Callithrix jacchus: one gene and its partner. The protein of the gene in region 1 binds, or shares a complex with, the protein of each later gene. Links are inferred from orthologs where the notes say so. Each region holds a gene or a part of one and is shown on either strand. Other genes may lie near its edges.

What was found.
Region 2: the proteins of PPP1CA (region 1) and MRAS are in contact, whole or in part, in a crystal structure (PDB 7TXH), measured with the Homo sapiens proteins. The link is inferred for Callithrix jacchus from reciprocal best matches to the Homo sapiens genes PPP1CA and MRAS. Residues at the interface, in NP_002699.1 of Homo sapiens: Pro178, Asp179, Gln181, Gln185, Arg188, Ile189, Met190, Pro192, Thr193, Pro196, Asp197, Gln198, Trp216, Gly217, Glu218, Phe225; in NP_001078518.1 of Homo sapiens: Val6, Pro7, Ile31, Gln35, Lys36, Ile37, Val39, Asp48, Ser49, Tyr50, Leu51, Lys52, His53.

The regions. Positions count from the first base shown.
Region 1 is NC_133511.1:124,477,310-124,481,551, forward strand, and holds the start of PPP1CA (serine/threonine-protein phosphatase PP1-alpha catalytic subunit), read right to left. Parts: upstream 2,846-4,242; 5' UTR 2,749-2,845; coding exon 2,694-2,748; intron 2,164-2,693; coding exon 2,032-2,163; intron 1,876-2,031; coding exon 1,645-1,875; intron 922-1,644; coding exon 817-921; intron 419-816; coding exon 195-418; intron 112-194; coding exon 1-111. UniProt on the Homo sapiens protein: Protein phosphatase that associates with over 200 regulatory proteins to form highly specific holoenzymes which dephosphorylate hundreds of biological targets.
Region 2 is NC_133518.1:45,976,568-45,980,876, forward strand, and holds the start of MRAS (ras-related protein M-Ras), read right to left. Parts: upstream 2,850-4,309; 5' UTR 2,589-2,849; intron 2,345-2,588; exon of another isoform or gene 1,551-2,344; intron 1-1,550. UniProt on the Homo sapiens protein: Signal transducer in the Ras-MAPK signaling pathway that regulates cell proliferation and survival. Core component of the SHOC2-MRAS-PP1c (SMP) holophosphatase complex that regulates the MAPK pathway activation.

The DNA of each region.
Region 1 (4,242 bases):
ATCCACGCTCATCATGGCACCAGCATTGTCAAACTCGCCACAGTAGTTGGGAGCTGAGAAAAGTGTCACCAGCTGCCTCTTGGCAAAGAACTCATAGCCATCTTCTACCACCTGGGTGCAGACCAGAGCAGTCAGTTCTGCATGCTGGCACTGGCCTCCCTTTCTCCCACCCCAGGCCAGAGCTGCCAGCCCACCTGGTGCGCCCGGCAGATGAGGTCCAAGTCGTGCTTGTGCAGGAACTTGGCCACCACCTCGGCTCCGAAGGTAAAAGACACGCCACGGTCGTTCTCGCCCCAGCCTTGCACGTCCTTGTCAGGGTCAGACCACAGTAGGTCACACAGCAGGCCCTGGTCAGGCACGTCTGTGGGCCGCATGATACGCCGGATCTGCTCCATGGATTGCAGGTCTGGGGACAAGCCTGGGGGACCGGGGGAAGTCCACATCCTCAAACAAGGACATCCTCACTCCAGGAAGCTGTGGCCAATCAGCCTCACCTTTCCCACTGCCCCCTTGATTCCTCCACAGGTCACCTGGGCACCCAGGCGGCAGAAGTCATCCCCTTCCCCTCAGCTTTTGCAGGTTCCCAAAGAGGCACAAAGATGTCCCCGCCCTCAGGAGCGCAGAGCTCCCGGGAGATAGACAAGCCAAGCCTATTCCATGTAGGATGCACAAGGGAGTCAGCGCAGCCCGGCACAGGGGTATGGGAGACACTTCCCAGAAGGAGTGACTTCCCAGATGAGACAGACCTAAGGAGAGCTGGCCCGGCAATGGGGGATGCGGCCAGGTCTCCTTGTCCCCAGCCGTCCCCTCCCTCACCTCCGTGGCAGCAGAAGATCTTTTCATCCACGATGGCTGCGATGGGCAGGCAGTTAAAGCAGTCCGTGAAGGTTTTCCACAGTTTGATGTTGTAGCGTCTCTTGCCTGCCCAGGAGATGGCTGTGAGGGGCCCGCCTACCCCACCCTCCACCTGGGTCCCTGGGCTATTCAGACGCAGATGGGAGGAGAGAGGCTTGGAGGCAAACCACCCTGCACCCTGCCCCTGTCCCCACTCCTGCCCCTGCAGCCTATCAGCCTTCCAGGAACTATTCTCTTTACTTTTTATTTTAACTTTTAATTAAACAGTCTTGCTCTGTCACCCAGGGTCAGCTGGAGTGCAGTGGCGAGATCATAGCTCACTGTAACTTGGAGCTCCTGGGTCCAAGTGATCTTCCTGCCAGAAGTAATTCTAAAGCACCCAAGTCCAATGAAAACTGAGTTCCAATCTGGACCGGCCTCAGGGCTGGCACTCCCCAAACACCCCCACCCATAAGCTGGGCCAAGTACAGGTCTGGTTTATCTCAGCTTCTGGACAGCTGAGCCCATCTGCAAACACATCCTAAGTGCTTAGTAGCAGATGTAAGTGGAGCCTCACCAGGCAGGGCCCTGGGAGCAAGCACCAGAATACCAGCAGCCTTCCAGTCAGCAACCATGCCCCAGACCCCGTGCCAGGCAGGGCAGGGCAGGCACGAGAATGGAGCGGGCCCTGCCTTCGTGGAGCGCACAGTCTAGCAAGTGTCTGTCAGATACGAAGCCAATGTGAGGGTCCCACTGAATAGCAAGGAGCGTTTCGGGACCCGGGCAACCCTGGGTGCTCAGACCACTCACACTCATCGTAGAAACCATAGATGCGGTTGATGCTGGCACACTCGTGGTTCCCACGGAGCAGGAAGAAGTTCTCGGGGTACTTGATCTTGTAGGCCAGCAGCAGGCAGATGGTCTCCAAGGACTGCTTGCCCCTGTCCACATAGTCCCCCAGAAAGAGATAGTTGCTCTCCGGAGGGAAGCCCCCATACTCAAATAGTCGCAGAAGGTCGTAGTACTGGCCGTGGATGTCACCTGTGACCCATGGAACCGAGTAAGCTAGATGCTGGGTCTAGACTTGAACCCAGGGCCAGGACTAGGCTCAAGGGAGGAGGGCTCCAGGAACTTTGTGGGGGCCAGTGCCACTTTTAGGAAGCCAAAGGGGCCTGGGCGAGGCTGGGGGCTGCTCACCGCAGATCTTGAGGGGTGCCTCCAGCTCCAGGAGAATGGGCTGGCTCAGGAAAATCTCCCGGGATTTCAGGCACAGACCGCGGATCTCGTTCTCTGTCAGCTGTACATTCTTGCCAGGCCGCGAGCCCTGCACTGGGGGCGCAATGCGGAGTCAGGACCCTGGCCTCTCAGACAGGGGGAGGGTGGGCGACACGGTGGCCCCGTGGATACCTCCGGGGGCGCCTAGGCCTCCTCGGCCCCTCCTTGCCCAGAGGCAGCTGTTGCTGCTGAGCCTCCTGGGACGTCGGCCTCAAGCCTCCCAAGGGAAGCCCCCCTAGTTATCCTCAAAGGCTCGGGAGGCGACTGTCGTGCGCAGGGGGCTGCCGCCCAAAACCTCACAGCGCAAGACACCTCCCTGGACCGGGCTTCCCGGGTTTCTCCCTCGCCCCAAGAGCCGAGGCAACCCGTGAGCCCCCGGCCGGGGAGAGGGGGCTGCTCCGCGCCTCGAAGCCGGCCCCGGACCTCTCAGGCGCGTCCGCGGGGGGGGGCGGCTGCGGCCACGGAACCTCGCGGCGCGTCCCCGCCCAGTCTAAGCTGGCCCCGGGGGCCCGCCCGCGCGCCACTTCCGGGCTGGGCAGGGGTCCAGGGCGCGGCGGACGCGGACCTTCCCCACCCCGGCCAACCTTCCAGCAGGCGCCCGATGATCGAGTCCAGGTTGAGCTTCTCGCTGTCGGACATGGCGGCGCCGCCGCTCCAGTCCAGCAGCTCCGGGCCCGCTCCCGTCTCCCGCCCTCCGGCTGCCTCCTTCCGGCCTGGCTCTCCTTCCGCCCGCCCCAGTCCGCCCCCGGCCCGCCGCTCCGCCTCCGGGCCTCCCGGGCCCGCCCTGCCCGGCCCCCCGCGCTCTAGCGCCCCCGCTGGATGTGAGGCGCGGAGGCCCAGGGGGCGGGGCCTCGGCGGCGGGCTGGGGGCGGTGTCTGTCGGGGGCGGGGCCGAGGCTAGTTACGCCCGAGAGGAGGCGCCCAGCTCCGTTTCGAGGATGTGGGGCCGGAAGGAATGTGGAAGTTGTTTTTCTCTTTCAAAAGCTGAACAGCCCTTCCCACCCCTGCCCTGGGTGGAGGGTGTCGTGAACACGTTAATAACCGGCTGCCCCGCACTGAGGGTTAACTTCTCCAAATGCAGAAAGGGAAACTGAGGTTCAAGACATAGCGACAGGCTGGTTCAAGACCTGGACCTCGCTTGCACCGAGGACCCCCTTCCTCGTGGGTCTCCGTGGCCCCCAGGCGGCTGACCACACTCAAAGACAGCTAGAATTCCCAGCGCACTTTGGTCCTTGGGGCATGCTAAATTAATATTTTCTTATAAGTCCCATAATTAGCTTTTTTTTTTTGAGGCGGGTTTTGCTCTGTCCCACAGGCTGGAAGGCAGTGGCGCGACCTTGGTTTAATGCAACCTTCCCCTCTTGGGTTAAAGCGATGACAATGCCTCAGCCTCCAGAGTAACAGGGACTACAGGCGGATGTCACCGCGCCCGCTAATTTTTGTATTTTTATTAGACGGGGAGTTTCCATGCTAGCCAGGCTGGGATCACAGGCCTGAGCCATCACACCTGGCCCCATAATAAGCTTTGAGTAGCACAGTAATATTGCAGGGTGTGCACGTAAAAAGAATTATAAAGAGTAGACATTACATGAACCGTAATTACTGTTGGAACCCTGAGTTGGGTGCTTTACACACCAGTAACCTCAAAACTGGAGGTGGGCTGGCCATCGTGGCTCAGGCCTGTAATTCCAGCACTTTGGGAGGCTGAGGCATAATGATCTCTTGCGCCCAGCCTGGGCAACATGGCGAAACCTCGTCTCAACACAAAACACAAAAATTGGCCAGGCACCGTGGCTCACACCTGTAAGCCCAGCACTTTGGGAGGTTAAGGCAGGCAGATCACAAGGTCAGGAAATTGAGACCATCCTGGCTAACACAGTGAAACCCCGTCTCTACTAAAAATACAAAAAATTAGCTGGGCATGGTGGTACGTGCCTGTGGTTCCAGCTACTCAGGAGGCTGAGGCAGGAGAATCACTTGAACCAGGAGGCAGAGGTTGCAGTGAGCTGAGATGGCGCCACTGCACTCCAGCTTGGGTGACAGAGAGAGAGAACGTATCAAAAAAAAAAAAAAAAAAATTGTGCTCACTTCGGCAGAACATATACTAAAATTGGAACGATACAGAGAAGATTAG
Region 2 (4,309 bases), on another chromosome or scaffold:
GATTCCAGGTGATCACTAGAGCTCAGGAACCAAACCAACCCCATGGGTAACTAACTTGTTACTTTTTTTTTTTTTTTTTTTTTTTGAGACGAGGTCTTGTTCTGTCACCCAGGCTGGAGTGCAGCAGTGTGATCATGGCTCACTGCAACCTCTGCCTCCTGGGCTCAAGCAATTCTCCCGCCTCAGCCTCCAGAGTAGCTAGGACTACAGGTGTATGCCACCAGGCCAGGCTAATTTTTGTAGGGATGGAGTTTCACTATGTTGCTCTGGCTGCTTGTCACTTTATAAGTAGTTCAGATGTGAAATACCGGTAGCTAGAGCTAAGAATAACATAAAAGTTAAACTGTCACAAGATATCTTATGTAGGTGAAAACAGAGGTGGAAACTAGCAACTGTCTTATGGAGGAGCAAAGCTGACAGCGCTGGAGACAATGGCTTACTTCACCAGAGGGCCTTGACTACCCCCACCCCCTGCCTTTAGGAAATGCCGAGAGCACGAGGCTTGCTCAACACCTCCCTCCCCAGAGGCTGGCAGACCTCAAAAACCCCAGAGCATGAAAGCTCCATGCCTTCTACCCTGGCAGAAAAAGGACAAACTACACCATAAACTACACAGAGAGAAGTTAACTGACTGCTGGGCAGTTTGAACAGACCTAAGGGTGAAAACCATTACCCCAGACATTTTCAGCCTCAGTCAGTAGGGACATGTGATTTACAGGAAATTAGGAGGTTTACAAAATGTTAGCAGCTCAAGTTTCTTCCCTGGGAAAAGAAGCAGGAGAAGCTCTAAGAACTATATCCGAGAAAGTGCTTTGTTCACTGCTAAGCTTCTGACACAAGTCAGTTATTAATACCCACAGCTCACTGCCTCACACTTCAACCCACCAGTGAATGTCTATAGTGAATGACTATAAAACCATATATTATAAAACTCTAACACAGGCTGCACCAAAGCCTTCCCAAGCCCAGGACAGCCACGTGGCCAAAAGCATGAACTTCGGATAAGATCTTGGGCAAGCTGCTGGCTCTTTCTCTCACCCCAGGTCCTCCATCGTTTATAATAAACAAAATCTTTCCGGAGGTGTCTTGTCAAATGATGAGCAAATCCACTTCAAGTGCCTGGTCTTTGTAAGCCCTGTTGGTTGCTGTTATTACAGCCGAGCTTCAGAGCTCTTAATTCATATCTCCATCTTACTCCTGCTGCCAGAAAAACCTCTGGAGGCCACGATTCTGAGCCTTGTCAGCCACCCTCTCTGGTCAGGTCCAGGGCAGAGTGGGTCCTGGAGGAGCAAGACCAGGGAGGATTCACACTATCAGGGGCCACTGGGGAGTAGGGGCAATGCCAGAGCTCTATGATCAAGGCCCCAGTGGTCTTGATGGCCTTTGTCCACCTCTCCAGACTCCGCTTTGTCCCAGGCCAGAGTCTAGCTGGGCGTCCAGTGTCCATCCTGTGGCCAGACATCTAGGGGGCTTTCCCTCACCTCCCACTCTGGAGTAGGGACCCCTGGGGGCTCCCACAACCCGTGGGCTTACCAGATCTCAGCACTTACCACACTGGCTTGTCACTTTGTGCTCCTGCCTTCCCTGGGGCAGGACTGCTACCGTGTCTGACGCCCCAGCCAGGTCAGTTCAATGTATGAGCCCAGGCCCTAGTTGTGACCACAGCTCCAGCTCCCCAAACCTCCGGGAGCAGTGAAGGGTTGTTTATGAAGAGGCTGCGTTTTATTATTCAGATGAATTTGTCAACTCCCTGGAGGATTCCTCCTCCCGTTAACGCCATCTTAAGAAGGGGAGGTAGAGAAAGAGCTCCCCACCCCTCCCACCACGTCCTGCCGCCCATCTATACCCGCCGGGTTCTCGCCGAGGCAGCCAAGGAACCCAGGGGTGATTACCATGAAAGGGTCTCTTTGAGCGGCGCGCAGGCCCTCCCCACTGGGGGTCTCGGTCGTGGCCGATTTCCCGGACGCACACCGTTACGCTGGAGCCCGCGATGAGGGCAAAACGCCACGCACAGCCGGTCCCACAGCGCACCCCGCTAGCGGAGAGCGCGGCAGAGTCCGGAGAGCGGCCACACCTCCCGCCCCGGAACAAAGCGACGGCCGGGGGAGGCGGCGCGGCGGGGCCCCCTCCCCTCCAAGGCCGCGGGACCACTCACCGCGCGCTCCAGTCCCGGCTCGGCTCAGGCACTCAGGCCGCCCCCTGCTAGCCCGCGCCGGTGAGTAGGCAGCGCCGCGCCCGCCGGGCCCCGCGGCCGCCGGACTGACGGCTCCCCGCCAGCCGGCCGCTCCAGTCCGTCCCCGCCCAGGCGCCTCCTTAAAGCGACCGCGCCGCCAGCGTGCGCCCCGAGCGCCTCGCGCGCCGCGCATTCCTTATATTGCCACAGTGCCTGCTAAAAATAGAGCGCCGCGGCAGGGGAGCCCGGGCCGGGTGCCTGGACCCCGTTGCCCTCGCGTGCACCCCGGCCCCCAGGACGCGCGGCCTGCGAAATCCAGCCCACCGTGCCGAATTCCCTGGGCCCGGCAGGGCGCGCAAGCGAGCCAGGGGCTGGGGTCGGCGCCGCCGCCTCCCCCGCGGCCCCGCGCACTTACCCGATTCCGCCCGGGAGCTGGCTTTAAGGTGGACGCTGAATGGGAATTCGCCCCGGCCTCTTTAAGAGCCTCTGCGTTCCAACCTTTAAATCTCCGCTCCGGCCCGGCCAACTTCTGAGCCGACGCACGCTCTCCAGTCCTAGGCGAGCCTCCGCCGCCACCTTAGCCGCATTCCCTTCGAATCCGGAGACGTCTTTCTTCCCGATCCTGCACCAGCGTCTCTTCTAGGCCTTCTTGGTGCACAGTTCCAGGGCCCAAACTTCGTTGGGATGGATGCGACGGGGACTGGCGACAAGCGTGCACCATTTCATTGTTTCAGTTCCGCTAACTCTCTCCAGCGGCGTCGTTTTCCCCCGTTAAAAAAATCAAGATATAATTCAACACCATAATATTCCACCTTTTGAAGTGTACTATTCAAGCCGAGCGCGGTGGCTCACGCCTGTAATCCTAGCACTTTGGAAGGCGGAGGAGGGTGAATCGCCTGAGGTCAGGAGTTCAAGACCAGCCTGGGCAACAGGGTGAAACCCCATCTCTACGAAAAAATCAGCCCGGCAGGGTGGCACGTGCCTGTAATCCCAGCTACTCGGGAGGCTGAAGCAGGAGAATCACTTGAACCCGGGAGGCAGAAGTTGCAGTGAGCCGAGATCGCGCTCTAGCCTGGGCAACAGAATGAGACTCTATCTTAAAAAAAAAAAAAAAAAAGTGCAATTCAGTGGTGTTTAGCATATTCACATAGTTGTGCAACCATAACCATGAGCTAATTTCAGAACATTTTCACCACTTCCTACTCCCCAGGGTGCCCCCTCCCTGCAAAAAACAAACTTTCCCTGTCTCCCCACTCCCCCTATCCCCCTAACCCCGAAAAATAAACTGCCCATTAGCAGTCACTCCTCATTCACCCCTCCCCCTGCCTCTGGGAACCACTAATCTACTTTCAATCTCTTTGCCTATTCAGGACATTTTCTATAAATGGAATCATACATGTGGCCTTTTGTGACTAGCTTCTTTCAGTAAACAATGTTTAATGATCTATTCATGATGTAACATATAGCAGTGCTTCATTCCTTTCTGTGGCTGAGTAATGTTTCACTGTATGTCTATACCTTTTGTTTATCTGTGCATCACTTGATGAATATATAGGTTTCTGTTTTGGGGCTCCTGTGAATAAAGCTGCTATGAATATTCATGTACAAGTCTTTGTATATGAACATATGTTCTTCTTTCCCTTGGGTATATACTTAAGAGTGGAATTGCTGGATCATATGTTAACTCTATCTTTAACTTTCGAAGGAACTGCCAAACCGTTTTCCAAAGCAGTTGCACCATTTTACATTCCCACCAACAATGTATGAGTGTTCCAATATCTCCACATCCTTGCAAACGCTTGTAATTGTGTGTCTTTTTTCATTATAGCCATCCTATTGGGGGCGAAGTGGCACCTCATTGTGGTTTTGATTGTCAGCATCATTTCTGAGGACATTCTTTCTGTGGGTGGACCTCAGTGACATAACCAGCTTTACATGTCCAGGGAACCCACTCCCTTGCCAGGTTTCCCCCAGGCCTAAGGGAGCCTCACAGCACTGCTGACCCTGCCTGCCATGCTGAGGCTCTCAATCCCACACAGGCTTCCGTTGGCATCTCAGCCACCCATGCAGCCATTTGAAGAGAACTGCTGTGCACCCCCTGTGCCTCCATTCCCACTGCTGCCCCAAAGGCCCTCT